Schizosaccharomyces pombe: one gene and its partners. The protein of the gene in region 2 binds, or shares a complex with, the protein of the main gene of each other region. Each region holds a gene or a part of one and is shown on either strand. Other genes may lie near its edges. The genes, in order: rrp42, rrp46 and rrp40.

What was found.
Region 1: rrp46 (region 2) and rrp42 share a complex: the UniProt entries of both Schizosaccharomyces pombe proteins name them as parts of the RNA exosome complex.
Region 3: rrp46 (region 2) and rrp40 share a complex: the UniProt entries of both Schizosaccharomyces pombe proteins name them as parts of the RNA exosome complex.

The regions. Positions count from the first base shown.
Region 1 is NC_003423.3:4,225,721-4,237,405, reverse strand, and holds rrp42 (exosome subunit Rrp42), read right to left. Parts: upstream 5,466-11,685; 5' UTR 5,454-5,465; coding exon 5,206-5,453; exon of another isoform or gene 5,140-5,205; intron 5,109-5,139; coding exon 4,457-5,108; 3' UTR 4,210-4,456; coding exon of another isoform or gene 3,622-4,209; 3' UTR 3,472-3,621; coding exon of another isoform or gene 3,427-3,471; 3' UTR 3,326-3,426; downstream 1-3,325. Other genes in the region: protein ptf2, read right to left, coding at 1-184; top3 (DNA topoisomerase III), read left to right, coding at 1,269-1,349, 1,397-1,773, 1,863-2,355, 2,406-2,542, 2,590-3,325, 3,427-3,471; BAG family molecular chaperone regulator Bag101, read left to right, coding at 3,622-4,209; kex1 (serine carboxypeptidase), read right to left, coding at 6,943-7,548, 7,596-8,294, 8,362-8,589; phosphoribosylanthranilate transferase Trp4, read right to left, coding at 9,056-10,120. UniProt on the Schizosaccharomyces pombe protein: Non-catalytic component of the RNA exosome complex which has 3'->5' exoribonuclease activity and participates in a multitude of cellular RNA processing and degradation events.
Region 2 is NC_003423.3:634,098-645,892, forward strand, and holds rrp46 (exosome subunit Rrp46), read left to right. Parts: upstream 1-5,234; 5' UTR 5,235-5,276; coding exon 5,277-5,331; exon of another isoform or gene 5,332-5,414; coding exon 5,415-6,040; 3' UTR 6,041-7,246; downstream 7,247-11,795. Other genes in the region: SPOM_SPBC115.03 (gfo/idh/mocA family oxidoreductase), read right to left, coding at 247-1,353; AFG1 family ATPase, read left to right, coding at 3,557-4,921; ndi1 (NADH dehydrogenase), read left to right, coding at 7,589-9,244; respiratory chain complex assembly protein Cbp6, read left to right, coding at 10,194-10,382, 10,450-10,572; rba50 (RNA polymerase II-associated protein), read right to left, coding at 11,123-11,795. UniProt on the Schizosaccharomyces pombe protein: Non-catalytic component of the RNA exosome complex which has 3'->5' exoribonuclease activity and participates in a multitude of cellular RNA processing and degradation events.
Region 3 is NC_003424.3:1,176,403-1,183,008, forward strand, and holds rrp40 (exosome subunit Rrp40), read right to left. Parts: upstream 3,539-6,606; 5' UTR 3,530-3,538; coding exon 2,807-3,529; 3' UTR 2,454-2,806; downstream 1-2,453. Other genes in the region: dihydroxyacetone kinase Dak1, read left to right, coding at 663-2,405; mug84 (pig-P phosphatidylinositol N-acetylglucosaminyltransferase subunit), read left to right, coding at 3,852-4,439; SPOM_SPAC22A12.14C (BSD domain-containing protein), read right to left, coding at 4,827-5,720, 5,765-5,815, 5,871-5,969. UniProt on the Schizosaccharomyces pombe protein: Non-catalytic component of the RNA exosome complex which has 3'->5' exoribonuclease activity and participates in a multitude of cellular RNA processing and degradation events.

The DNA of each region.
Region 1 (11,685 bases), 3.6 Mb from region 2:
ACACCAACCTGGCAGCGGTATTTAAATTTTCATTTTCTTTTGCAAAAAAATTCTCGTATTTTCTTATATAACGTAAAGAACGATAAATCTCGATTGGAATATTATCGGTAAATTCAACAAACTCGGCTGCAAGGTCTTCGTCACTCAATTTTTCATTACACGATGACTCCTGTATCTCATCCATTAAAAAAGGTCAATATTGTGGAAGCCAAAGTGCAAAAACTTGTTATAAACAAAACAAAATGAAAAGATGAAAAAGAAATTAAATTTCAAATTTTTGGTTAATCGCACCTCCTAAACTTCCCAAATTCAATCGCTTTAATCGAACATGGATTTTTTGTGTTTTATATTTCAGAATAATAAACCTCAGACTATATTAAAAAAAGTAGAAACCTCGTGGAAGAATGCTTACTACTGCTTCATCAGTTATCTCAGGTTCGCACTTGTCTACTACAGTGGTGAGGAAAGTAACATGTTACCAATTGTATGGAATCAAAGTAGTTAATTGAGATTTACGAGAGAAGCTGTGAAACAAAAACTTGCCTTCTAGACAAGGTCGCTTTGTTTTAAAAAAACAAAAAAAATCCTCTGCACAGTCCCTTCACTCTATCGATAGTGCATGATTTTTCTTTTTCTTTTTTAGCTATCGATAATTATTTTGCATTTAAAAGATGAGAAAATATAAATATAAAAACAAATTAAAATATTATCAATCCCGGTTTGAGTCAATAAGAGAACTTTCATTTATCTATTTATTTTAATTTCAATTAATTAAGGAACTTACATCAATTTACCATGCTCTATAGAAATAAATATGTAGTTTACAATGCGAATGATGGGTTCAAAAATCAAAAAATATCTAAATTTCTAACTTTTTTTTACAAACAAAATATTAATTTTAAATTTTGTTATACATTCGGCGCATCTATTCATTAAACCGTCCTGACTATGAAAGCTTAAGAAATAGTTATTACATGGACTTCTTCAATGCAACATACATCAAAATTATATAATTACTTATCTAAAGAGGTTCTTCTTAATTCTCTAGTATAATTAACTACTGGTATGGTGTTTGATTTTTTTTAATGAACTTTCTGGTCCTCGATTTACTACCTTTCATTATACCAACATTTGTTAGCATAAACAATAAAGCCATCTCGACCTTAACACCTTACACGCGAATTTTACACTGCAGTCATTTTTAAAAAAGGGAGATATAATTAGAAGGTGTGCAATATCCAAGTAATAAATGTCATCTCTTAAAAGAAATGCGCGTCCTATGTGTTGCTGAAAAAAACTCGATTGCCAAATCGGTAGCAAGCATTCTAGGGGGTGGACACGTGAGAAGGGTTTGTTAAAAAATTTAATCTTTTCTGAAATTTACTAATCTCTTAAGAGAGATACACGAAGTAAGTATGTAAAAAATTACGACTTCTCATTTAATTTTGGAGGCAATGTTGGATCTTCTGATGTTACAATGACTTCTGTATCCGGTCACTTAACAGAAGCTTCTTTTCCTTCTGAATATTCTAGTTGGAGCTCTGTCCCTCAAGACGTTTTATTCGATGCTCAAATCATCACCTCAGTATCAAAGAATGCAGAAGTACTAGCAGACAATATTAAAAAAGAAGCTAGAAATGCCCAGTACCTTTATATTTGGACCGATTGTGATCGTGAGGGTGAACACATTGGGGTGGAAATCTCCAATGTAGCTAGAGCCAGCAATCCATCTATTCAGGTTATCCGAGCAGACTTCAATAATTTGGAACGGTCGTAAGTTATAAACATCTTAGCGTTTTAAAAAGCAGATATTTATTTATTACAGAAAAAACCCTTCAAGATAAATGCTAACTAATTTTCAGACATATTATCAGTGCCGCGAAACGTCCAAGAGATGTTTCAAAAAATGCTGCAGATGCTGTGGATGCTAGAATTGAACTTGATTTTCGTTTAGGTGCAATATTCACTCGGCTACAAACTATTCAATTACAAAAATCATTCGATATTCTTCAGAATAAAATAATAAGTTATGGTCCCTGCCAATTCCCTACATTAGGCTTTGTAGTTGATCGGTGGCAGCGAGTAGAAGACTTTGTGCCTGAAACCTACTGGCACCTTCGATTTGTTGATAAAAGACAGGGTAAGACTATTCAGTTCAATTGGGAAAGGGCCAAAGTTTTTGACAGATTAACTACAATGATCATCTTGGAAAACTGTTTAGAATGCAAAACTGCTAAGGTCGTTAACATAACTCAAAAACCAAAAACCAAGTATAAACCTCTGCCATTATCAACTGTAGAACTTACAAAACTGGGGCCAAAACATCTAAGAATTTCTGCTAAGAAAACTTTAGAGGTACGATTTGATTATAAGTGAATTTGCAACTTTAACATCATTTTCATCAGCTCGCCGAAAACTTATATACTAATGGGTTTGTTTCTTACCCACGTACTGAAACCGACCAATTTGACTCTTCAATGAATTTGCATGCGATTATCCAAAAACTAACAGGTGCACAAGAATGGGACTCTTATGCAGAAGGGTAAATATAATTTTTCTTATAGTGGCTTCCGTAATAACTAATGTTAGGCTTTTGGCTGGAGATTATCGACCGCCCCGAAAAGGTAAACACAATGATCGCGCTCATCCACCTATTCATCCCGTTCAAATGGTTCACCGGTCAGCGCTTCCTTCCCAAGATCATTGGAAAGTATATGAGCTAATTACAAGAAGATTTTTAGCTTGTTGTTCTGACAATGCCAAAGGAGCCGAAACGTTGGTGCAGGTTAAAATGGAAGAAGAGCTTTTTTCTAAAAAGGGATTGCTAGTGACAGAGAAAAATTATTTAGAGGTTTATCCATATGAGAAATGGGAAAGTTCGGATCAATTACCAGAGTATAGACTTCACGAGGAATTCCAACCCCACATTCTCGACATGATGGACAGTTCAACGTCCTCCCCTTCCTATATCACTGAACCGGAGTTAATTGCCTTGATGGATGCCAATGGAATCGGGACAGATGCTACTATGGCAGAGCACATCGAAAAAGTTCAGGAGAGAGAATATGTCATAAAACGAAAAAAAAGGGGCCAAGGTGTAACTGAATTTGTACCAAGCTCTTTAGGAGTTGCTTTGGCAAAAGGCTATGATGAAATTGGTTTAGAGTGGAGTTTGACCAAGCCTTTCTTGCGAAAAGAAATGGAAGTTCAACTTAAAAACATAGAAAATGGCCAACTTAATCGGAATGTTCTAGTTCATATGATCCTTACCCAATTCCGTGATGTTTTTCATCTCACAAAGCAAAGATTCGATTGTTTAAAAAATGTAAGTCAAATTATCATTGTTTCCTACTTTTCCAATTTTCAAAATCCCATACTTTATTTATTAATCTTTTCATTTTATGGTTGCTAACAAATATAACGCAGAGTTGCAGAGTCTACCTTATGAGTCATAATGAACCGCAAACCTAGATAACCAGACCGCTCGTATACTTTTATTAACTTATTACCTTTCGTTTTTAAGCGTCGCATTAAGACCTTCATTTTTTTGGATAGCATCAGCCTTAAAAACATAAAACATCTTGAGTTGGATCCGTTAAGCAAGTCGACTTAATATCGTCAATGTCAGAAAAGACTAGCACAGTTACAATACACTATGGAAATCAGCGATTTCCGGTAGCAGTCAATCTAAATGAGACGTTAAGTGAACTGATTGATGATTTACTTGAAACGACTGAGATTTCTGAGAAGAAAGTCAAGCTTTTTTACGCTGGCAAGCGTTTAAAAGACAAAAAAGCCTCGTTATCAAAATTGGGTTTAAAAAATCATAGTAAAATTCTATGTATAAGACCACATAAGCAACAACGAGGTTCCAAGGAAAAAGACACGGTTGAGCCCGCTCCGAAAGCGGAAGCGGAGAATCCTGTATTTTCGCGTATTTCTGGAGAAATAAAAGCCATCGATCAGTATGTTGACAAAGAACTTTCCCCCATGTACGACAATTACGTAAATAAACCGTCGAACGATCCAAAGCAGAAAAACAAACAGAAACTAATGATAAGTGAACTACTTTTACAACAGCTTTTAAAATTGGATGGAGTTGACGTACTGGGCAGCGAGAAATTGCGTTTTGAACGGAAGCAACTTGTTTCTAAGATCCAAAAAATGTTGGATCACGTTGACCAAACAAGCCAAGAAGTGGCCGCATAGGCTTTATTATTTTTATAGACGTTACCATTTCATTTCCCTTAAATTATTCCCATCTACTATACTTGCTATATGACTTTGACCTAAACGAAATACAATGACCAACCATAGTAACCAAAAATACCGATGCATGCCTCTTCATGTAACAAAATTGATCCTGATTCCGTAACCCAAGTATTGCATTTATATATATATATAGAGAGAAAGATGCTATTATATAGGAAATGGAGACCAACCCAACCCAATTCATTTATGGAAGAATATCAAAAAATCCTAAACCCTTAAAAGATAGAATATCGCTGCTGGCGTTCAAAAGCTTAGTACCAACGGTAGACGCAGTCTCTAACAATTCTATATATCGCTCTACAGTTATTGCACGTCCAGTGGATGCGTAGCCTCCTCCAGTACCCACGACCCTGGTATAGCTAATAGCACCACTAGCTTGAACACCAATCGCATATGTCACTTGAGCGACACTTGATTCCTCAATTGTAGGATCAACAATTATCACTTGATCAATGCTACTAACCAAAATTATGACTGACATTAATTCTAACCCTTGCAAAGGTAATGCATTTTCCCATTCTGAATCAACATCGTATTCTTCGGAAGGCTCATATTTAGTAGATCCAATAGTGATGTCTGTGACATTGGGGGTAGAAATTTTAGGTAAACGTGTAGTCTGTAATGCTAAATAAGCAGCAAGACTTAAAGCTGAAAGAATGTTTTCGTAAGGAGACGAAGAAAGTATTACAACAGCATCTACGTGAATAATCCAAGCTTTAGATGGTGTAAATTTCAAATAGTCGACAGCAAGTGCGTTTAATAAATCCTGAAGGGCACTTGTAAGGAATGAAGGAATTTCATCGGTTTCACGATTCTGGATTGAAACAGATGGAGAACTACATAAAAAGTGTTAGCATACCAGCTTTTTTCAATTGATTCATATTGTTTGTTACGCCAAACAATGTTAATACGAACTCCAAATATCTCACGTACATTTCAACTGAAGCGACATATTTACCACCTTCGGGAGTAGCATCACCCACTTCTGCTTTTACACCTATGACTATCTCCACCGAAGACGCCCATTTAACTCTAGCAGAACCATTTGTACCAGGCAGAACATCTACTTGTCCAGAAAGCGGACGAAGCTGGTCTATCGAACGTCCATCATTCCGAATTGCAGGCTCAAATTCTGTTATTGATTTGTGTGTGTACGATAGTTCTGGTAATGACAATTGCATATGTTGGCTAATGGTATATCGTTTAAGAATAATTTTCCTTGCAATATTGCGTTGAGTTCTTGCGTATATTCTAAAGTTCGTTATGTATGCTACGCAGTTTTGTATCTGTTTAACGATATGCAAAACCGCGATAAGTTTTACATGTGATCTGTTATATTATAATACATAGGTATAACGGCTATGAGTCATTGAAAATATTGGTATATGTAGGTATTATTTATGATCTATTTCTGTTATTAGCTTCTGACTAAAGTGAGGAACGAAATTTAGTTTCCTATTTAAATTGTTGAACATATAAACTAAATATTTGTTTCAGATATCAAATGATTTGCCCCAATATCTATCATCTACGAGGCTATGTTTAAATAGAACATGTTCCAAATGTGATACACAACGTAGTAAATTATAGCGTTGTCAGTACTACTGCGACATGTTTTTTTATTAGCTAAGACTTGTTTATTGACACAGCAGAAAAGGCGCATTCTCTAAAAATTTCGCAAGTTTACATCAGTTGAAAATGCTTGGGCAGTTGGTGCTTCATTATAACCTATTCCTTCAAAATTTTGGATGCAAAACCTACGCTGAAATATTATTTACCACTTTGATGCAATTTGGCCGAGTAGCAATAAGATCATATCTGGTGTTCTGTTCGATAGCGTGCCATCTGTAAGTATCCATCCACAAGCAAGTTGGGCCTATTGGATCATGGATTTAAAGACGTTGTCATCGAAATAAAACTATCCAATTTCTTCTTTGATATAGAGCTAGTTCACTCGTTGCCTAGACCTATTTAGTTAAGGCTGTCTGTAAAATTTACCAAACGCATCAATTGTGTCCCTGATAACGTGCGTCGATTTTGGATTGTCAAATATGATTACAGTAGATCTGTTATTAGCTTGCAGTTCTCCTTTGTTCTCATGCGTAGATGTGATAGAATCCTCCCATTGCTATAGCTTCTAACTGAATTTAGGAACGTGATTCGATTATAAATTATTTATAATAATCGATTATTAAGGGATGTAACGGATTGTCAATATAAACAGACAGATCTCACTAGTATTTATACATTTGTGACACATGTTACAAGACGTAGTTCTCCATGATATACTGTACTATTGCAAACACGTTATTGAGATTAGCGTTTGACGCTAATCTGTCCTATAAAAAAACTACAAAAACTGTAGAACAAACAATAGCTATAAGACAATGTTTGGTACATGATATTTCATATTCATGATTTGAGATCATTTAGAGACTATGTGCAAAAATAAAAATTCAAAGAATGTATCCATAAGTGAAATTTGATTAAAGATGAGAGATAAAATTTATGGTGATAATCGCAGATTTTTTAAAACCAGGGAAGAACGTTCCAAGATAAAAAAATAAATTCTACCACCGATAAAGCAAGATTAAAAGTTAAATGATTAAAATAAAGAGCAGAAAATCTGTATGTGAAAGTAAAAACCGACAGAAAAGATTTATATACAGTCTAAGGAGTTGGAGATATAGGTTGGTAGCGTTGTTTGCTAAGACCAAATAATCCAAATCTCCTGCACAAATAAATTGAGAATAAAATAATGATAGTTAAAGCAACAGGAATCAAACCCAAATAAAGCCATTTGTAGTTTCCATTACCTAAATCCGGAGAGGGTTTAGGTACCGATGGTAAGCTGGCAAAGTCATTATTAAAGAAAGCAGTAATCAAGGTCTTCATTTCATTAGGATGATCGTATGGAACCATGTGACTAGCTTCAACTATGCGAGCAAAGGTCAGGTTCCGGGAACTAACATAGGAGCCCGATGGTTGATCAGAATAGCCCGGAAGATAAAATGGTTGAGCAGATTGATTTTGAAAACCAACAGCACCATTCCACTCCAGTGATCGGGTTAATTTTTCGCCAGATAAATAATTACAAAGAAAGTCATTTTCGCCGTAAAACAACAAAATAGGAACCGTAGATACAAGGTCCTGGATTAACTTAGATGAGGACTCAATCCCTTCACGAGCATATTGTAGGGCAACGTCGTCATTACATTCTTCCCAATCATGAACCTTTTCGAGGTTAACGTTTAAGGAAGTCATCGCTTCACGAGTCTGACAATGTTAGTAAAAGATATATTATCATATAATTATAAACATACACTTAAAAATTCAGTAAGATAGGAAAGATCGTAAGGCCAGTCCATTCCACAAGTAGGATATGTCGATTCTAAGCTAATGTCATACATGTTCATACATGCTTTCCCAGGTTCCTTTGACACCATGTATAAAATATCGCCAAGAAAACTTTCGCACTTAGATAAATCACCAGATCCGGAACCTATCTTGTCAAAAGCAAGTAAACATTCCGCCCAAGAATGATGTAAATATTGACCCAGCTCTGATTCAAAATCAACCATGCCTTTTTCTACCAAATAATTTAGGTATGTTTCATAATGAGAAAGTGGGTTAATCCATCCATTTCCGATTGCAAGGCCTCCCAAGTTAACAAGATTTTTTTCTTTCAACTTTGCAGCGATATGGGGAATGTATTGACCAGCAAATGATTCTCCGGCGATAAACCATTCATCATTTGCTCTTTCTGGGAACTCCTCCAAGAATTTCTCAAAGAAAATAGAAAAATCATTGGCCATTTTCTCATTGTTAGATTGAAAATCCTTAGCCAGAGAGTATGAATACCCTGTGCCTAGGGGTTGGTCTACGAAAAGCAAATTACCCAATTCGTCCCAGCGTCCAGGGTTCAATTGGAATGTATTATTGTCATCAAGACGGAATGGTCCAACTTCCATCAGCGAGCCGTCTTCTGAAGAGCAGCCAGGACCTCCATTTAACCAAAGAATCTTTTATCAAATTAGTAATTTGTATAATATATAATTTAATTTAAAAACATTCACTTGAAATACTTACAGAACGATGTTCGTATTCGGGTTTTACGGATTCAAACATCCAGAAAAACAAATCACCATCCAGCTGATCCGTTTGATTTAAGTGTCCAGCATGCATTCTTCCCTCATAATCAACAGGCTCATTAGGAAATGCTTTTACAAGATATTGTTCATGAATTCTAGAATCAGCAAGTGTGTTGCCAATAACACCTGCAGTTAAAAGGACTATTTTCAGTAACTTCGAAATCATGCTCTCACAATCAAATCGACAGTTTTCTATATGATCCCCAGATTGAATACAAAGGAATGGGGTCCGCAATTCGGATGATATTAGTCTGCTACTTTTTATCTATTCACAAATTGTTGGATTATTGTATTTCGCTATTTTATATAGCGAAACGTAACACAATTGTGCTTAATATCCCATCTAAGACATTAAGCTTAAGTAAACATGATATATAAATTTTAAATATACTACAGTTCAATCGCTAATACGATTTTTATAGATCCATAACTAACTGATATATAAGACCTAAGCTAAAGAAAAATATCCCATATGGAAAAGGAGTGAGAATAAACAACAAACGTAAAAAAAAAGAACAATAATGCTTTTTTTTGCAAAGGCACGTTGAAAAACAAAGAGAAAGGGAATATACAAAAATGGGGTCTGAACGGATATATGTTCTAGGATATAATGTAGCTTGGAAATAAAAACCTTAGGGTTGCTGACTAATAGTAGAAAAGTTACTTAGCTCTCTCAGTGCTGCCCCAGAAGAGATACTCTGTTGAGCAATTTTGACACCCTCTCTAAGAGATTCAGCCATTCCAGCAACATGAAGTAACGCTGCAGTATTCATCAACACATAATCCAAAATCGGATGATTAGCGTGCAGCATATTTGATAATAACTCCTCCAAAAGAATGGCGTTTGCAGATGGAGTGCCACTGGCTACACTGGAGAGAGGATGAGACTGAAGATGGAAAGACTCTGGAGTGTATACTTCATGAGTAATTGTTCCGTCACGAACAAGCCATGTATGCGTAGGTCCAGCGGGAGAGATTTCATCCAAACCCTCTTCACCACAAACAACTAATGATCGACCAGCTCCAAGTTTCAATAATGTCTTAGCAACAACTTCTCCTAACGAAAGCTTACTAACTCCGATAATACGAGCATAAGTAGGAATAGGATTTAACAGAGGGCCTACTAAATTAAATATAGTGGGAAGTCCCAGTTGTTTACGAATTGGGGCAACATTTTTTAAAGTAGGGTGACACATGGGGGCAAACAAAAATGAAAACTTGCATTGTTCAGTAATGGAAACGATATTTTTGGGAGTGACATTAAGAAGATCACAACCAAACGACATCAACAAATCAGCAGATCCACTGGCAGATGTAGAAGCTTTATTGCCATGTTTGCAGACCCAGAGACCTGCACCAGCAGCAACGATGGCAGAGGCAGTACTGACATTAAACGTGTTATGGCCATCACCACCCGTCCCAACGATATCGACAAATCTGGGAGAAACCATCTCGATATTAGCAATTGGCGTGGAGTAAGACTTTAAAATTTGAACTGTTTGCATCAGGATATCGGGAACTTCCTCGGCTTTGGTCAAATGAAGGCTCGCAAGGAAGGAAGCAGTTTCGACGGGTGAAGCCTTTCCAGTTAAAATTGCACGTAATGCCGCTTCATAGTTCTCTAGAGGAATAGCAGGACCTACCTTATCCAAATCGTGGATGGCCAGACGGACTTCGGGATTGAATGTATTTATCATTATTAGAAAATGCTTAGAATATTGGTTGTATGGATAAAAGGGCAACCAAAAAGTAATAATAAATAGATTGAACGAAGTTGACTTTTCTTTCGTATATTTCTATCAAATTAATATAAACGCGAAAGAGTATCTCAGATTCAAAACTGATGAAAGTGCAGAATGAATTTGCTAGCAAGAAATTGATTTTCGCTTGCAAACGTGAAATCGGTTTTTCTGATTTATTAAAAGCAGAAAAAAAGAAAGAAATAGGTGTAAAAATATGGATTTAATCTTTATTATACTAAAGATCAGAAAAATATGCTAAAAGTATGAGCAATAAGAGGTAGAATCCGAAGAACGGAATCTTTCGTCTTTTTAAGGTTACTTCTTAGTGGTTAAGAGAAGACGGCAAAGGGCGCGCAAGTAAACTGTTCAGCAATCTGCTAACATTCATACCAAAACCTAATTCATAAGTTGAATGCTCTGTAATTGATTCACTGAATGCCTAATTTCGGCAACGCCATTCAAAAGTTGGACCACGCAAGAAATTCAGCAATCATTGGAATATGACAATGATTTACGCACTTCATCAACCCGAACTGCAATTGGAATAACGATATGTTCAATAAAGTACTAGAAGGTTCACTATATTTAAACATGCAATTATATTTTTTGTAAAAAAATCCATGAATATAGTAAAAGAATGTAAGTGATTGAAGAGCTGAACAGGCATGCAAAATTCAGTAAGCTGCTTATAAGAATGTATAAGAACACATTACCCATTCATTATTGATCTTGCTTAAGCAGCCTTTCAAAATCCTCGATGAATCGAAGTGAGGAATCGTTTAATAAATGTCACCAAGGATTTTTTTTAAGCCTTGGTATAAAGCGGTGTCAGAATACTTTTATTTGTTGATGCAGTTCCTAATTACCATACTAGAAAAGTATTAAAATTCCGGGATACTGAATTTGGACCGTAATTGAATTTATTTGTCCATCCATCCAAAATGTATAATGATGCTTTAAATATCATAACCAAATTTTTCTGTTTATTTCAACCTTGCCTATTCCAACTGTCTTCTAATTCAATAATTGTTTTTAAAATTTCGTAATTTACCTACTTTAATAGATTTATTTATTCAATTTTTTTTTTGGTAAAATCCACTATTATTGAATTTATTTCGTTAAAAAGGAGAGAAACGATGGTTCTGTTGCTTACGCGAGGTTATTCTTGTAACGTTATAGGTATATATTCAAAATTTTGAAAGCTTTAATATACATAATAAATTTTACAAATTTTTTAAAATTAACACAATAATAGCTCCCTTCTTTATTGCACTGTCAAGCACTACTGACAATAAAAGATTATAGTTACTTCTGGCTCTTTTTAAATCATGTAAGAACTAAAAGAAAGTCTTACAGGTTTGGTACCAAAAAAATGATAACGTAGTACGAAAAGAGGGAAAAAATAGCAAAAAAAACTACGATAATTACTCGCTTGTTTATACATAAATTCTTTTGTTTTTCTCACCTTCCTTCGTGAATGCTTTATTCTGCTACCCTGCAAATTAGGTAGCGAAACGTCA
Region 2 (11,795 bases):
AAAACAATATTCCCTTCATTTGAACATTATATGATTTTGGTAATCCCATTTCAAATTCTTTAAACGGTTTCTAAAACATGCAATTCATTACCATTGATTATGGCTATGAGATGTTATAACGCAATTGTTAAAACCAAATATTCACTATTTTAATTCTAAGATCACTTCTCATTTAGTTTAAAGAAAAACAAGCAAGGATTTTCACACTGAAGGGTTACTTCATTTAATAAAATTGTAAATATTCTTTTACAACTGGATCGAGCTAGAAGATTCAGAACTTTTATATGCAGCCTCCATTATTTTTTCTACTGCCAAAACTTGATCAGATTTGATAGGAAACTCGTTAGCTTTTTTTAAGATTTCCTCAAAAACCGCATCGTAGAAGTCCCGGTAATTTCCCTGAACAGTAGGAACCGTAATTTTAGTTGGTTCAGGCAAAGCTTTCACGTCAGCATCCAAAGGAACAGTCCATAAGTTTCCATAGAGCTCAAATCTATCAGTTCCAAATCCATGATCGTTAGGCTTCATTCCTGAATGTAATTGTGACTCTTGTGGGTCAAACCCAAATTTCATAAAAGAACCACGAGTGCCCTTAATACAGAATCGCATTTCACAGCCGCATGACACATTAGTAGAAGACAGAATTACGTTGATTGGAAGTTTGTTTCCTTTAGCAGGGTAATGAAGAATAATACGAAAATAATCTTCCACCTCCAAAGGAGGAATTTGACGTTGAGCTTCCAGCTTGGCAGTAACAGAGTAAGGCGTGCCAAACAAGGAGACTGCTTGATCAATTAAATGTGAGCCTATCCCGTACACCATTCCGTTCCCGGGTCTAGGTTCATCTTTCCAACTTCCAGATTTTCGACCCAGACGGTATCGATCAAAGTGAGATTCGAATTCAACAACTTGACCAAGTCTTCCGCTTTCTATTATTTTTTTAGCAGTCAGAAAATCACCATCCCACCGACGATTTTGATAAATTGCCAGTAGTAGGCTTTTTGATTCGGCAAGTTCATAGAGCTCTTTGGCTTCCTCATAGGTAGGAGTAAACGGCTTTTCACAAACCACATGCTTACCAGCGTTCAAAGCTTTTTTTACAATTTCAGAATGAACATTGGGAGGTAGGGAAACTACGACCAACTCAATATTGACGTCGGCTAATAATTCATCCAAGTTTGTATAAACCAAAATATTGGGATATGCAGAGCGTGCTTTGGATTGTGTAACTGTTGCCCTACGTTCTAAACATGCATAAATTTCAAATTTTGAAGGTAAAGCTTCAAGGAATGGGAAATGAAAAACAAAAGCTGACACACCAGTTCCAAGCACTGCAGTCTTAATCGGAGGCATAGTTTAACTTAATCAAAGTAATGATTTGTAAGCTGTAGAATACAGAAATTTTTTTAATACGAGAAAATATCGAACCGCTAAAGGAAGAATTTTACTAACGACAGTGTAAGCATATGATCAGATATTAATAATCGGTAATTATAAAATTTTAACCGAATGAAGGGATCCATTTATCAAACATAATCATCATTTAGCTAAACATATGCTAAAATGCATTCATGTGAATACTTGAAAGAAAATGTTTGAAATCAGTCTATTTTACGAACTTTGATTTTAGACATACCAGTTACGCTTTTTTATTATAACAAGAAAGCAGTAAGATTTCAATTAAAAATTCAAGTAATAAAAAACTGATTTTTGCTAATCAATCTGGAAAAGGTTACAGAGTCAAAGTGGATGAAATAAACTAAATTTAAAAGTAGTTTGTTTTCGACAGCTCGATTACCTAACAAAGATCGCTTATTAGCATGTCATTAAAATATTAAACACTATAACGATCATTAGGTTGAGCTTGTTAACCATAGTTATCATAGCTTTTGCTTTGTAATTAATATCATGCCAATATTTCCTCTTATAAAAACGGGAATTTTCGAACAAATAATGTACATACTATGGGATAAACAGTCATCTACTCAAAGATATTTTTATAACATTGAGCTTTAGCGTAGTTGATGCCTAAGATCAAACAAAGTAATGACTTATGGGAATTTTGAGGAAGTAAACATTTGAAGTATCTGTTTAAGTGCTTCTTCTAAAATTCTTTATTGCCTGCCTTCTTTCAGAATACAAAGTATCGCCTTAACAATTCACTTCGGTTTTACTATTTGAATGGTGTTCGCTTAGATGAGCTTAAAAATTTTATAGAGTTTATTAATTTAAGGCCTTTACTGCGTATGAAGATAGTTTTTCTTTTTCTTTTTTTTTTTTAAGCTAATGGCATCAGTTTATATTTCTGAGCCAACTTACTACCCTTTTTTTTAAAGTAATTAGTGAAAATTTAAAATATCATTCATGAATTCACATGCTAAAATAGCGAATACATATGCCTTATTTTATCTACTAAGAAGCTTTCAAAGTTCTTAACTCAAACATTTCAGTATTCCTTATTATCACGTTTTAAGAATTTCCCTCCTTTTTTATATATCATTTAACAACATTTGTTACACATACAAGATCATAACTTCATGCAGTAGCTGTGTGTAAACACTAGTATATTAATATATAATTCATTTATTTGTTTGTGGTCTACTAAAGATAAAATAAAATAAGAATAAACATAAGAAATATTAATAAGCCAAACCAAATAATCACAAAAAATACGTATATAGGCGTTTTATAAATATCTGCGTTTTGCTGGAATAATAGTTATGAAACTAATGAACGGAATTCAACTAAACATACTCTACAGCACCAATTAAATTCACTATCGATACGAACTTCTTTCTTCGGGATTTCCTTAAAATCACTTAACATCAATTGTCAAACTTATTAACAAACTGAAGCAATACTTGATATTGACCAAATTAATATTATTCTCGTACTTTTTAATTGAGTACAAAAAATAAAGTTGCCATTGTTTGTTGAATATACAAAAAATGGAAAAGAAATAAATAATACTTTAATAACATGAGTTCCAATGTATTATTGAAATTCCATGCGATTAACTTTTTTACTAATATACAGAATAACTCCACCTATCTGGGATCGTATGGAAGTATAGTTGCTTATACTTAGTTCCATTAAATTTAAAATTTTTTAAACAAGAAATTTTTTTATTAAGAACAGGTTTCTATTTACCAACGAAATAGGCTTGACTTACTAGTTTCAGATTAACATTTGCTCATGATTAAGACAATACGCAAACGCATATACCGAAATCATCGCAATTCACTATAATAAAAGCAAACTGCACTGCCGAACGCTATTCAGAGGCAAGAATAATCATGCATCTGTCCAACGATTTATATTTATTCACTTAAAAACATATGTCTTTAATCACTAAGTACGTCTTGTAGTTGACATATTTTCTTTCTAATCTTTTGCTTTTCATCTACAATCGTTCTACAGCTTTATATCCACTCTCACTTTATCATTCCTGAATGAATTCACTAATTGATCAATAACCACTTTTTTTCTTTACTTTAGTTAGCTTACGAAACATTATTTTTGTTCAAAAGTTTGTATTTAATTTGGTCATATCATCATGCTGCAAGTGCTTCGTGTTTCAGCTCCTTGTTTTGCTTTTGTTGATACTATAGGAAGCATTGGAGTTTGCAGGGTAGTTCGCTTTACCACATTTCATAATACACCTATTGAAGTATACAACAAGAAAGTTAATGACGGCGTATGGAAACGTGACCCGTATCAAGAAACAGCGGTTAAAGCAATCAACCGTTTGTATACCGAATTGGAATCGTATACACAACCTCCAATAACGCAAGATAGTATGCCAGCTGAAAAGGGATCAATCCTATCTTGGATATCCCCCTTAAAGAAAATGTTTTCTAGGAAGAAGTCTCCCACTCTAACTTCTTCTTTACCTGTACCGGGTATGCCTAAAGGTATATATCTATATGGTGATGTGGGCTGTGGTAAAACCGCTTTGATGGATCTATTTTATCACAACTTACCACCCAATGTTACTCGTTCTCAGCGCATTCATTTCCATGCATTTATGATGCAAGTTCATCGCACTTCACATGATTTGCAAGATCGTTATGGGTTTGAGATTGATTTTATAGATCATATTGCATCCGGAATAGCAAAAGAAACAACAGTGCTATGTTTTGACGAATTACAGGTAACCGATGTCGCGGACGCTCTTTTACTACGCAGACTCTTTGAGGCCCTTATGAAGTATGGTGTTGTTATCTTTATTACTTCTAATAGGGCTCCTTCTGATTTGTATAAAAATGGAATACAAAGAGAGAGCTTCATTCCTTGCATTAAACTTTTGGAACATCGTCTTCAAGTAATTTGTTTGGACAGTCCAAACGATTACCGACGCCTAAAATCTAAAACAGAAGATACATATCTTTATCCTGCTAATAGCCCAGAAGTTAAGAAAGCCTTGGAAAATTGGTTTCTTTGCTACGCTGATGAGAAAGATCCTGCTCACCAAGACGAAGTTGAAGTATTTGGGAGAAAGATAATCGTTCCAAAAGCAAGTGGCAACGTTGCATGGTTCACCTTTGAACAATTATGTGGAGAACCGAAAAGCGCTGCCGACTATCTTTCATTGGCAAGCCGTTACCATGTTTTCATCGTTTCAGACATTCCCAAATTGAGTATCGAGTCGAAAGACCTTATCCATAGGTTCATTACATTTATTGATGCCCTTTATGACACCCATGGAAAACTCATCTTATCATCTGAAGTTCCAGTTCAAGAAATATATCCGACAGCACCTTCTGAAGTACTTTCCTCTACGGCTGATCCTGCTGCCAAGGGGAAAATTGAATCTCACTATCATGGAGCATTTGGTGGGATTGAAGAGGTATTTACCTTCACGCGTTGCTTGAGTAGACTTTCAGAAATGAAAAAACAATCCTGGATTCATTCTCCTTAATACAAAGGTGATTCCTTTATAATGAGATTATATATCATGATGTATTATTTTTAAAAAAATATTTTGAAAGATGGCTATGAGTAATTTCTAATTTTTTAGTGGTTGGGCTGTTACAGATCATTCCAGTTTCTCCTATCATTCAGCTTTAGTAAAGTAAAAATTGGAAGAATTTAATTACAAACCCTTATTAATACAACTCCCATTGTCACCAAACTATTGATACATTTTTTTCTGCTCTCATTCTGTTTTCGAATAACGAGGTGTAAGCTAGCTTATTTCCTACTTGTGCAAAGGAAGTAGAAACGTTTCTTCTGTCTCTGCAAGCAAGCAACTTTGTTGCATTATAGAAGCTGAAATGAACCGTATAGGTATCCTCTCAAGGTCTGATGGCTCGAGCGAATGGAAACAAGGTAATGCTATTATCCACGGTATATTAGCCAAGCAAATGCCAATTAAAAAAAAATGAATTTTCTTTATGCTAACATCATTGTAGGTTCTGCTAGGGTTATTTGTGGTGTCAATGGTCCTATTGATGTAAAAATCAGGGACGAAAGGCTTAACAAGGCCACCGTTGAAGTTTTGGTTCAACCTGTGAGTGGTGTCGCTGAGACTTTGGAAAAGATGATTTCTAGCAGAATTGTTGGTATCCTAGAAGATGCAATATTTCTAAACACATATCCAAGAACACTTATACAAGTGTCAATTCAGATAATAGAGGAAGATGGCACAGATACATTGGCTGCCGTAATCAATGGTGCGGTACTTGCTTTATTGGACGCAGGTATCTCTTTAAAATATATTCCCTGTGCAATAAATTGTCACTGGAAGAACAAAATAACTCAAGATGAACCTGATGTCGATGGGACAATTAACAAATTGGAGTCTATTATTACTATTTGTTATTCAATTTCCTCAGAACCAGCCAAATTAATTTTTCTCGAAACAGCTGGCCCCATTCCAGAAGAAGATTTTTTCCGTGTTCTGGAGACAGCACCATTGCATGCCGAGGAAGTTTCTAAGAAAATGAAAGAATTGCTTTTTGAAACGTACAACGAGAGCGATGGTCATGAAAATGAAAAGAACCCCAAAGAGGATGTTGAGATGGATGTGGTTGCATAAGAAAATCAATAAAGTGCATGTAAAAAGTCCATCTCAAGGACCTTCGTTTCGTATTTACCATTGTACCTGTTAAACGACTATACCTTTGAACAATATCTTTGGCTGTTCATTTTTATACTTAGATTTTATATTACTTGGGCGATATACATTGGGTTATTTTTAATTTATTTTAGTTTATTACTAATTGAGAAACCAGAACCTAAACAATCCTACTACATTAGAAGGTTTACTGTCATTCTTTCAATTCACTAGCAATTAATGTGTTCTTTCAATACTTCAATGTATGCTGATACATTTGGGTTAAATCATAAAAGAAGATCTGTCATAAGACAATCGTTCAGTACAAGGCCTTGGGTATATACACTCATGACTTTTTTTTTTAATTTTGCCACTCACTCACTTACTCTATACATATTGAGTCTATCTAACGTATCAAGCTGTTAACTAAGAGAAACGATTTGAAAACACATAGGAAGGTCGCACACATTAGCTGTCTTATATACTACTGAATTTTAAGTTTAGGAAATCATTGAAGGTAAAATAGGTAGAAAAGTGAATAAAAGGCATTCATACCCAGGACAAAGCATTGCCTTCATAAACTGGGAATTTGCCATACACTAAAAAATTACTGTTGCACAACTTTTCCTAAAAAGTAATCTAATGTAGTAATATTATACTACAGCAGGTATTAATATTTTTTCACATGTCCTTTTTTTTATGTGTTCGCCAAATATGACGGTTATAAATTTAGTTAAATACTTTTGATTGAAGGTACTATTAGCTACAATTTATGAATAGAGATCAATTGACCCGGTTCTCAGTCCAGTTATAAGCTGATTCAACGATGAGTTACACCCTTCATGCCACAAAATTTATAGCATTTGTCACCCATATCACTTTTTTTAGGACAAATAACATACACTACCAATGTAACATTAAATGTGATAACACAGTGCGTTGCTAACATTTAGCAATTCTTTTCTTACCACGTAATACTTTTTATGGATAACCTTATTCCGCGTTATTTTTCCCCACTCACAGCACACTTGATTGCCGAGTCCAATCAAGTTGATATGAATAACCGTGATGACGGAATTAGGGCGCTTCGTAGACCTTAATTGTTTACATACAAAATGTTCAGCTATGCAGCCCTTTCGTCCACATTCAACACTCCCCCATCTCTTCTTAAAAAAAAAATAAGCAGAAAAACTCGTTTTCTGTAAAGTAGAAGGTATTTTAGAATACACTACAATTTTTTCTAGTAAAACTATTATTGGATACCTTTTTTTCGCAGTTCTAAAGGCTTATTTCTGCTAGTTATAGTAATTCACTGTGTATTTAGGAGAGGACTCAAGGTTGTCGTTCTCTCTTTCTATTACTGTCTATTAATATCGTAAAATAGCTCAATTTTGAATGGGTTTATCTCTTTAGTTTGCTTGCTCTTTAACATTTGTCATTATCTCATACATTTTTTTACTCACGCCTCCCTACCACTTATCACTTAGTCCTATTTAAGGGGAAATTTGTTTACTTCTTTTTTCTTAAAAAATGTCGGTCTCAAAAGCTAGACTACAGTCTGTGGTTCGCCTGTCTCGTACAGTGCCATATTCAAAAACGATGGTTCGTTCATTTCATGTATCCTGTGCTGTAAAGAACAGTGGGAATGTTCCTACACCCCGTAACAAATCATTTTTCTCTCGAGCACTTGAAATGGCGGAAGTTACTTCTTCTTTGTCCATGTTGGGTGCCGTAGCCCTCTTCCAATCCTTACGAAGACTGAACAACAGTTCGCCAAAAGGAAAATCTGGTGTTCCGAAAAAGAACATAGTTGTTTTGGGTTCTGGATGGGGTGCAGTCGCGGCAATCAAAAATTTGGACCCGTCCTTGTACAACATTACCCTCGTGAGCCCTAGGGACCATTTTTTATTCACCCCTATGCTTCCTTCATGTACCGTGGGTACTTTGAGACTTCCAAGTATTACTGAGCCCATTGTGGCTTTGTTCAAAGGAAAAATTGATCCCTCCAACATTCACCAAGCTGAATGCACTGCCATCGACACATCGGCTAAGAAAGTTACCATTCGTGGTACGACCGAAGCTAACGAGGGAAAGGAAGCGGTTATTCCGTATGATACGCTTGTTTTTGCTATTGGAGCTGGTAATCAAACATTTGGTATCCAGGGTGTCCGCGACCATGGCTGTTTTCTGAAAGAAGCGGGAGATGCCAAGAAGGTGTTTAACCGCATCTTTGAAATCTTGGAACAAGTTCGATTCAATAAAGATCTTTCTCCCGAGGAACGGGCTCGTCTCTTACACATCACTGTTGTTGGTGGTGGCCCTACTGGAATGGAATTTGCAGCTGAGATGCAAGATTTCATTGATAACGACGTTAAGGATATGTTTCCCGAGCTTCAAAAAGACATCCATGTCACGTTAATTGAAGCTGCCCCCGGTGTTCTCCCCATGTTTACTAAATCTTTGATTACGTATACGGAGAATTTATTCAAAAATCTTAACATTAAGATCATGACTAAAACCGTGGTTAAAGATGTTAATGAGAAGAACCTTATCGTTCAAAAGACCAACCCTGACGGAAGCAAGGCTATGCAAGAGATACCCTACGGAATGCTCGTTTGGGCTGCCGGCATTACTGCTCGTCCACTCACTCGTACATTGATGTCTTCTATCCCTGAACAAAGCGGTGCGCGCAAAGGTTTAATAGTTGATGAGTTTTTTAGGGTCAAGGGTGTACCTGAGATGTACGCCGTTGGTGATTGCGCATTCTCTGGATTACCTGCTACTGCTCAAGTTGCTAACCAACAAGGTGCTTGGTTGGCTAAGAACTTGAACGTCGAAGGAAAGAAGTTTGCATTGCATGAACGGATTCAAGCTCTTGAAAAACAGTTAGGTGAGAAAGAGGCTCCTTCTCAGGTTGCCGGATTGAAACAGCAAGTGGAGCAGTTGAAGTTAGAGCCCTTTAAATACCATCATCAAGGAGCTTTAGCTTACGTTGGAGATGAAAAGGCCATTGCCGATTTAAAATTGCCATTTATGAAAAAGATGCTGCCTTTGCAGGGAATTGTCGGCCACACCTTTTGGAGACTTGCATATTTAAATGAGTTGATTTCTGCTCGATCCCAATTCATGGTGTTGATTGACTGGTTGAAGACAAGACTATTTGGACGTTATGATGCTAAGGTTTAATGAACGGAATGAAATACTTTTGGTTTACAAGCAATTGTTTCCTTGTGCTTTGTCGTTAATCATAAGATGATTATTTTATACTTGAAAAAGGAACGTATTTGAATAACAGATTTCGAGATGAACGATTCGTTTCGACTACTACTTTGATAATTTAAGTTTATGTTATTCTAAATGATAATACTGATGCCTTATTTGTTCTATGATGGAATAATTCTTAGTGTTACTCCATTGATGTATGTAGAAAAGCTGGAAGTTAACAGTTGACAGGTAGTACAATTTCGTTACTCAACGAGACTATATGTTGCATATGAACTGAAAGAATTATATTTATGTCTTACTGTATTCAGAACCACTTTAATTAGAGCCCGTATAAACCATGTTCTCTGCTTTTAGCTAGCTAATCGTATAATTAATATGCCATGCTGGCTTCACCGGCACTAGATTCGTTGTACAGTATTATATTACACTACCCCATCAGGAACCGTTTCACAAAAAACCCGTTCGCTTACATAGCAACATTTCTTAGATAATTTCATATTTCTAATCCACTCCAAATAAGATATCCTTTCTTATATAGATTGAAAGTTTTAAAATACTGCTTAAATATGCTTAGTTGACTCTACCTTGCTCACTTCAATTTTAAACCGTTTTCAAAGGTTCTATCAACTCCATCGCACCGGTACTTTTTAAGATCATTTAATGATATACGTTGTATAACATAATAGATGATTCACTAAAAAAACTCACCGTAGTACTGATTGCATCCTTATAAGCCTAACAAAATATGTAATTATTCTGTTAAGTTATTTACAATATTTGTATTTGCCGCTCAATATTGTTTAGCGCAATAAGGTGATATAGCCTGGCCAAAGCAGAGAATGTCGAAGAATCTTTCTACTTGCAAAGCAATTGAAAGTTGAGGCTTTATTCTTGTTTTTAACCCTCAATAATGTCTCTAAACCAAAAAATAACAAAGGCAGTTGCTCTTTGGCCGAAGGATGAATTGCGACCTTGGTTGTCGTTTCCTAAGACTCTTGACACATCTATTAGAGCCAGACTTCAAAAGATGCCACCTCAACAGGCTAATAAGCAGTTAAACGCTTTGAATAATTTGCTTGATAATGTCTATTGGAATAAGGTATGCTTCTTATTACGTGCCTTGATAGGGTCGCCTTACCTTTGTTCGCCTTTTAACCAAATTGTAGTATATCCCCAAGCAAGTAGTATTGAAACCACAATTTAAACCTTCTTACTACGAAAGTCTTACCCAAATAAGAAGAAAAGAAGAGAAAGCTCCTCTTTGGAAAAGATTGTTTAAACGGAAATGAACTCCCATTATGCGCCTGCGAGACATCCTATTTATTTATGCCTTGATTTCATAATACTTCAATTAATGTGTTACTTCTATGACTTTCTAGGTTAAATGATCTTTCGAGATATATACTTTTTTTATATCTCTTTACTGCGCCTTGATGAAAATTTAAAGACAAAGTGATATCTTACTAGTTATGAGGGTGGGCTATTTTAATCTAAATTGTCTGTCTCAATGTCATTTCTTGTGTTAAAAATTCATTTTCGACTAAATAACGAATGGAAACACGATAAAAGTAGATAAATAAAAACTGTCCTTATAAAGCATTAGTATAAAAAATATATTCATTGCAGCACCACTTTCGATTACCAAGTAAAATCTCTCAGCAATGCGACAATTTCGAAAAAAGTAAAGACCAAAAAAAAAACCATCCTTTTTTTGATACAAAAAAAAAAAAAAACTAGTAATACACATAAACCAAAACAAATAGAATCGTCACATTCAGATACAAATGATAAAACATTCTTCATAATTTTCTGTTTCCTTATAAAAAAAAGCTTGCTTCTTTAAACAGCCGATCTCGATGAGCCGTGTTGACTTTGTGAACATAACCAAAGTGCCTCAATTGCTAATGAGCGTACAGTGAGGTGCTTTACTTGGTCACTGGCAGCGGCGGCAAGTAATTCATAGATATGTGCATCTTCGACTAGTGTATGCAATTCTGGACTGAGCACCTCTCTGAATTCGCCAGAGTTTAATCGGTAAATAATCCTTCCAATAGTCTGAATAGCAATGCATCTCTGGGTTGGGAAACTTGAACGCAAAAGATGAGCCAGCTCAACTAAAGTGTATCCGGCACTAAATGGTGCGTCTCCATGATGATGAAGTCCTTCATTAACAGGGATTGTTTGACTTTGAGAGGGGGTTATAATTTCACCTTTGAAGCCAAATCGAATTTCATGAGCATGCAAACTCTCGACAGAAGGATGATAACTATTCTCGGCAGGACTGGGATCATGCAGCCATTGCATTTGCTTTTCATCAACAGGTAAATTCGGAAAATATTTATCATGAAGTTGTTCATAAAAACTTGGGTCATTAGGATCCAGCGTTACTTGCTTCTCTGGAAGATGCGTAGTATCAAATTCCAATGGCGCACCATCATTACTTGTTGTACCGTCACTGAGGGCTGGAGAATGTTTTTTGGGGCTATGTTTCGCATCTTCTGACGCATCGTCC
Region 3 (6,606 bases), on a different chromosome or scaffold from region 2:
TGATCTACAAAAGGTCAGCGAAATTTTTCTTTGACTAGGAAAATGGATTGAGGTCATCTTCGGCAAGGCAAGCTGATATTTAATTTAATTGTTCATATCGGCAACATTTCGTAATTAGTTGAAGGGTATGAAAAACGGTTCTACGGTTATCTAGATGTGTTTATTCACTGTTTCAGCATAATATCACTTCCGTTACGTGCGGGGCACTTCGTCATGCAAATTGGTGGTTATATAGTATATATAGAGAGACAAGGCCAGCATTATTAAATCGTCTTCAAGCTCCCTTTTTCCGCTACACTCATAACTTTTACGAAATAGCGAAACGAAAACGAGACATAACGTAACGAAACGAAACGTTTACTAGTATATTCTTGGTTTATTTATTTTGTATTTAAACCAGTTGAAGCATAGTAGCGTATAAAGTGTTAATTTTTTCGCATTGAAGGGAATTTTGATATTAATATTTTGAGATTTTAGAGACACATAGATTTATTTCTTTAATCCTTTACTCACACTTGCACTTCCCCACCACCTAAAACAAGTCATTTTATATTCTTAGATCATAAATTTCGGGAATATTTGATTTAACTATCCAACTTATATTTAATTTTATTTTAAGGCTTTATTCTCTTTTTTTTACCTTTTTCTTATTATTCTAAAATATGGATAAGCACTTTATCAACGATCCTGAAGTCCTCGTCCTTGATGGCCTTAAATCCTTGGCCGACATGAACAAAACTTTAACTGTTCATGAAGAGGGAAAATTCATCTATTTCCATGACTACAACAAAAAGAATGTCAGTGTCATTTCCGGCGGTGGTGCTGGTCATGAACCCACTCATTCTTCGTTCGTGGGCAAGGGTATGCTTACTGCCGCCGTCTCAGGCTCCATTTTTGCTTCTCCTTCGTCAAAGCAAATTTATACCGGTATTAAGCAAGTCGAATCTGAGGCTGGCACCTTGGTAATTTGCAAAAACTACACCGGTGACATCCTTCACTTTGGTATGGCCTTGGAGAAGCAAAGAACGGCTGGTAAGAAGGCTGAACTTATTGCCGTTGCAGATGACGTATCAGTAGGTCGTAAGAAGAGCGGTAAGGTCGGACGTCGTGGTTTGTCTGGTACTGTTCTTGTTCACAAAATCGCTGGTGCAGCTGCCGCCAGAGGGTTACCTTTGGAAGCCGTTACGACCATTGCTAAGGCTGCTATTGACAATTTGGTTAGTATCGGTGCTTCACTCGCTCACGTTCACGTCCCTGGTCATGAGCCAATTGCAAAAGAAGATGAAATGAAACATGATGAAATGGAACTTGGAATGGGTATTCACAATGAACCTGGATGCAAGCGTATTTCCCCTATTCCCTCTATTGATGACCTAATCGCTCAGATGCTTAAGCAAATGTTGGATCAATCCGACAAGGACCGTGCCTATGTAAAGATTGAGGGTGACGATGAAGTAGTCTTACTTATGAATAACCTTGGTGGTCTTTCCATGCTTGAATTCAGTGCCATTAGCCACAAGGTGAAGGAAGCATTGGCTAAAGAATACAAAATCAACCCCGTTCGCATCTTTGCCGGTCCATTTACCACCAGTTTGAATGGCTTGGGTTTCGGTATCACTTTGCTCCGTACCACTGACCGCGTCAAAGTCGAGGGCGAAGAATACTCTTTGGTTGATTTGATTGACCAACCTGTTGAAGCTATCGGATGGCCTTTGTGTCAACCCTCTGACTTGAAGTCCAAAAACAAGATTGGCAATGTCAGCATCGAGGAGGGTCAGAAGGATGTCAAGTCTCCCGTTACTGTCGATAAGGAGAAGGTTCGTCAGGCGATTGTCAATTCGATGGAGAATCTCATCAAAGCAGAGCCTAAAATTACAAAGTTCGATACGATGGCTGGTGATGGTGACTGTGGTACTACTTTGAAGCGTGGTGCTGAAGGTGTTTTGAAGTTTGTTAAATCCGACAAATTCTCTGACGATCCTATTCGTATTGTTCGTGATATCGCAGATGTTATTGAAGACAATATGGATGGTACATCTGGTGCTTTGTACGCCATTTTCTTCCATGGCTTTGCGAAGGGCATGAAAGACACCTTGGAGAAGAGCAAGGACATTTCATCTAAGACATGGGCTGCTGGTTTGAAGGTTGCTCTTGATACTCTTTTCAAGTATACTCCCGCTCGTCCTGGTGACAGCACTATGTGTGATGCTCTTGTTCCATTTGTCGAAACATTTGTTAAAACTAATGATCTTAATGCTGCCGTAGAGGAGGCTCGTAAAGGTGCTGATGCTACTGCAGATATGCAAGCCAAACTTGGACGTGCTGTCTACGTTGGTGATGATGTTAAAGTTCCCGATGCCGGCGCTCTTGGTGTCGTTGCAATTGTCGAAGGATTTACGAAATAATTGGATACGAAATTTTTTTGGGATTGTAGAATTGGTATGATCTTAAAAACTATTTACGAGCACGAATAACAATTATATTTTCATTATGCATGCATTAATTATTGCTTACTTATCTTTGCATCTGTATTTGTATATTCATGCATTATAATAAGTAATTTTTTAATTAAAACAGTTGAGAAAGGACGAGTGTAGATATTGTATGAACACGCTGCTGTAATAAATAAAAGAACGACAGAAATTGTATGGGAATATTAGACACAGGCATTAAAGAAGAAACAATACACTTTATTCAGAAATGGTCCCTCCTAGATAAGGGCAAACCATTTTTGAATTAAACCCAATTGGACAAGAATTGTTAAATAGACTGTGCATATTATTCAAATTTTTTTTTCTGAATCTCGTTAGAGCTTTTTAATAAGGTCTTTACAGTACTTTATTTGCTCTTCATCAGACATGAATTCGCAATTTCTGATAGCTGTACAAATGAGGACCGTAGTAGAAAGATTTTCAGAATTGACCCAAACGCGACCATTCATTCCAACAGCAATTTCGAAAGGAATGTAGCTTCCTAGGGTCTGTAAAAGTGTATTTTTAGGAAGGATCAACTTCCTACAATGAGATAAAGATAAACCTGTTATCATATAACCGTTTTTAAGTTCACCATATCCTGCAGCTTTCCCTGTGGTAGCATCGAAACATTCTAACTCCGGTTCCATATCACGATCAGCGAGTGATACTCGAGCATACACAAGGCTTCCAACATTTAAATTGGGCCTACTTTTACGAGTCACATTTTCAAAAGCCAATGCATTCAATTGAGCAATATGAGCTGACCCAATATCTACTCGATAACCTTCCGCAAATCTAGAAATAATTTGCCCAATAACTTGATCATTTGTAGCAGGAATATATCTTTTTGTCCGTGAGTCTATCAACATAGCATTTTTTCCAGTTTGATGCAACCTCCCAGCTTTTGAGACCACTATTTCTTCTTCACGGTCTTTCTTTTGAAAGACTAAACCAGGACCTAAACGAATTGATCCATCCTGACTAATTATGGAGTCTGGTATCCGCTCACCAGGAAAGTAATAAGATAACAGACCTTTTTCTTCAACTTCAGCCATTTGGTTAACAGAAGAAAATTAGCTATTTGGGGTTTGATTTTTCGCGAGTTATACACTATAATTCGAGGATTAATGTCTTGGACGGTAAGTGTGTCTAAACTAATACTGTAAATCTCGTTAATTTTATAAATCACATTAGCCCAGACTGTGAAAAATAACGCAAACGTACATTGTGCTATAATGCTGTTTACGAGGATTTTCTGTATGTATGTCGTTAATAGGGATATCGAATTTAATCACATCGTAAGCAGACGTAGTTGTATTTGTATCATCTCAGTACGCGCTCTCATCTAACAAATGCACATAGTAAACACATGTTTGGATGACACTTACTCATCATTCCACGTTCATAAAAGGGATAGAGGGTTCTGCTGAAGGAGAGATAGAAGATGTAAGGCAAACTACTGTTTTTGATCCTCCGTTTTACGGACATCCGATGTTGGTTCCACCGTCGCCATCTTTGACTACGATGTTTCGAACGAGGTCTACAACGCCTGATGAAGAGGGAACTGCCATTGCAGAAATTGATCAACAAGATTGGGATATAATGGTAAAAGTTCCTACTTATGAGTATTACGGGTTCGTGATGTATTTGGTGTCAATGTTGGGGTTCGGCGTGTATATTGTTTGGGCTCTGACGCCTGCGCCTGTTCTCAAATTTTTTGAGATTCATTATTATCTATCTCGTTGGTGGGCTCTAGCTATTCCTACTTGGTTATTTGTTCTTGTTATTTACATTCACGTTGTGCTAAACGCTTACAATACCGAAGTATTGACTAAGCCATTTAGCAGCTTAGAATGTATCGTTGATCAATACGCACTCGTTGGTGAAGAAGATGGTGCTGCTCATGGTCGAGTTGTTGATCTTCGCCTATGTGATGTGAATAAACAACAACTGGAAGAAACTTAAAAAAGACTAAAAGCAGCTAAGTGATATCAGAATTCATTTTCTCCTTAAAAATCTTCATTATTTAAGGGACTTATTATCTATTGATGTCGTCGACCCATACAGATTTACTTTTAAATCCTGGTTTCCTTAAGTTTCACAATCAAAAAGTATATGTAAATGTATAATATTATAAGAAGGTTGATTAATGCTCTAGTCCTACTACTCCAACCTGCATACTCAAGATTAGATGTTTTTTATATTCCGCTAATAATATACCTAAGAGTTGTTCGTAAACAAAATGTTTTCAGACAAATAATTAGCTATACGAACAAAACACACCAAAACAAGTAAATGAATAGAAGAGAAGTAAAAACAGTATATCTCTTTTTAATAGTTTGACGAGAGTCGTTATTCCCAGTCATCATCGTCTTCATCATCGTCATCAACTTTTCTATTTGCTTCATCCTTCACCTCAAGAGAACTTTGAGAAGCTTCTATATTACTGGAAGATGATACTTTATTTTCCTCTTCTTCTTTAACTTCTCCATCAACCTCTCCATCATGGCTTGCGGGTTGAGTTTCAATTTGTAAGCCTTTTGAAACTGCTGACTCCAAATCATTGACGGTTTCATCTATCACTTCAGCTGCTGAATTATTCTCAGTAGTATCTTCTTCACTTGATTGCTTTTTTTCATCATTAACCTGTTCATTGTCACTTTCTTCTTCATCACTTCTTTCATCTCCCCAACTAAAAATTTCTTCTTCATCGTTTCCTGATTGAATTGCCTTTATCGGCTGTACAACCTCTTTATGCCAAAAAAATCGTTTCCAAAAATCATCATAAGAAACTTCAGAAGGTACTAAAGATTCCATCTGTTTCCTTAAATCAGGATATTCTTCCAAAAGTAAAGAGATCTCTTCAGTTTTCCCATCAATGGAAATTTCTTTTTCCCAGCTTTCAAACGTGATCCCATGAGAGGGTTCAGAGATAATTTGGGTAAAAGTATTTTCGTTTTGAACAAGTTCCAACAACTGTCTCTCGTGGCGATTTAAGAAAACAGACGAAGAGGCTTCGTGTGTAGGAGTCGATACATCGTCTTCTTTGGGTGATATCTGCAATGCTTGATCCAAAAAACCATTCACTGTAGATCCGAAGCCACTCCAGAAACTTCCTGCTGTTTCTTCTACTTTTCGCAAGTTTTCCATAGCAGAATTAACAGGTATATTTTCTTCAAGCTGTGATTTTAATTGCTGCATTCCACTTGAGGCTTTTCCCTTTGTATCATCAAGAAAGTTTTCACTCTTTGAACGGTTAGTAACAATGCCATTATTCGCAATCAACACACCTTTTCTTTCATTGAGTTCCAAAACAAACCAAACTTTCCATTCGTCAGATTCTGTATAAAATGTCAGTAAATTCCGCGCCGTAAATCATCATAAAGGATAAATTACATTTAGAGCCGAACCCATTTCTTCTTTCAGTTTTTCGTATCCCTCTTCATCATCTTCTTCTGTAGTGGTTGTAGGTGCCATATAATCGTACAAATCCATTTTGAATAGTTTAAAAGAAAACTTATGTACTTAGTTGTTAGAATAAGCTCACATGTGTTTGGTAGCAAACAAGCTATATATGTTGTACTTGGCAGCAAGTGAAGATATTGTATAGCCTACCGAATAGTGACACGATTATGCTCGTATTCTGACTATGGACACTTATACTAACTTAGTATACTTCCAATAATACTTTTTAATGAAAAAGGCATTACACAATCCACTACAGCTTATTTTCGTCCAAAAAACAAATTCTAAGTTTTTGAAGTAAAGCAATTTTAAAATATACACAACACCATAAAATTTCACCACTTTGCACTTCGACTTAATCAAATGAGATGTTTTAATAAATAGAATACTTTTAAAACTATATATAAAAAAGCTGCTACTCACAAACTCAGGTAAGTATAAACACTAAGATAAAAGAACGATTGTATTTATAATAAAAGGAATTAGTACCCAATGCTATAAAATTTGATAAACATACAGGGTCTTTATGATTAACTACCAATTATTGTCAGTTCCACAAAGCCATTAGCAGAAGTAAGCAATACAAAGATAACAAAGCACCAGTTAACTAGGTGTTGACATACAACTTTGTTAATGGCTATAGAGTCACGATTCTGGTAGATAAAGT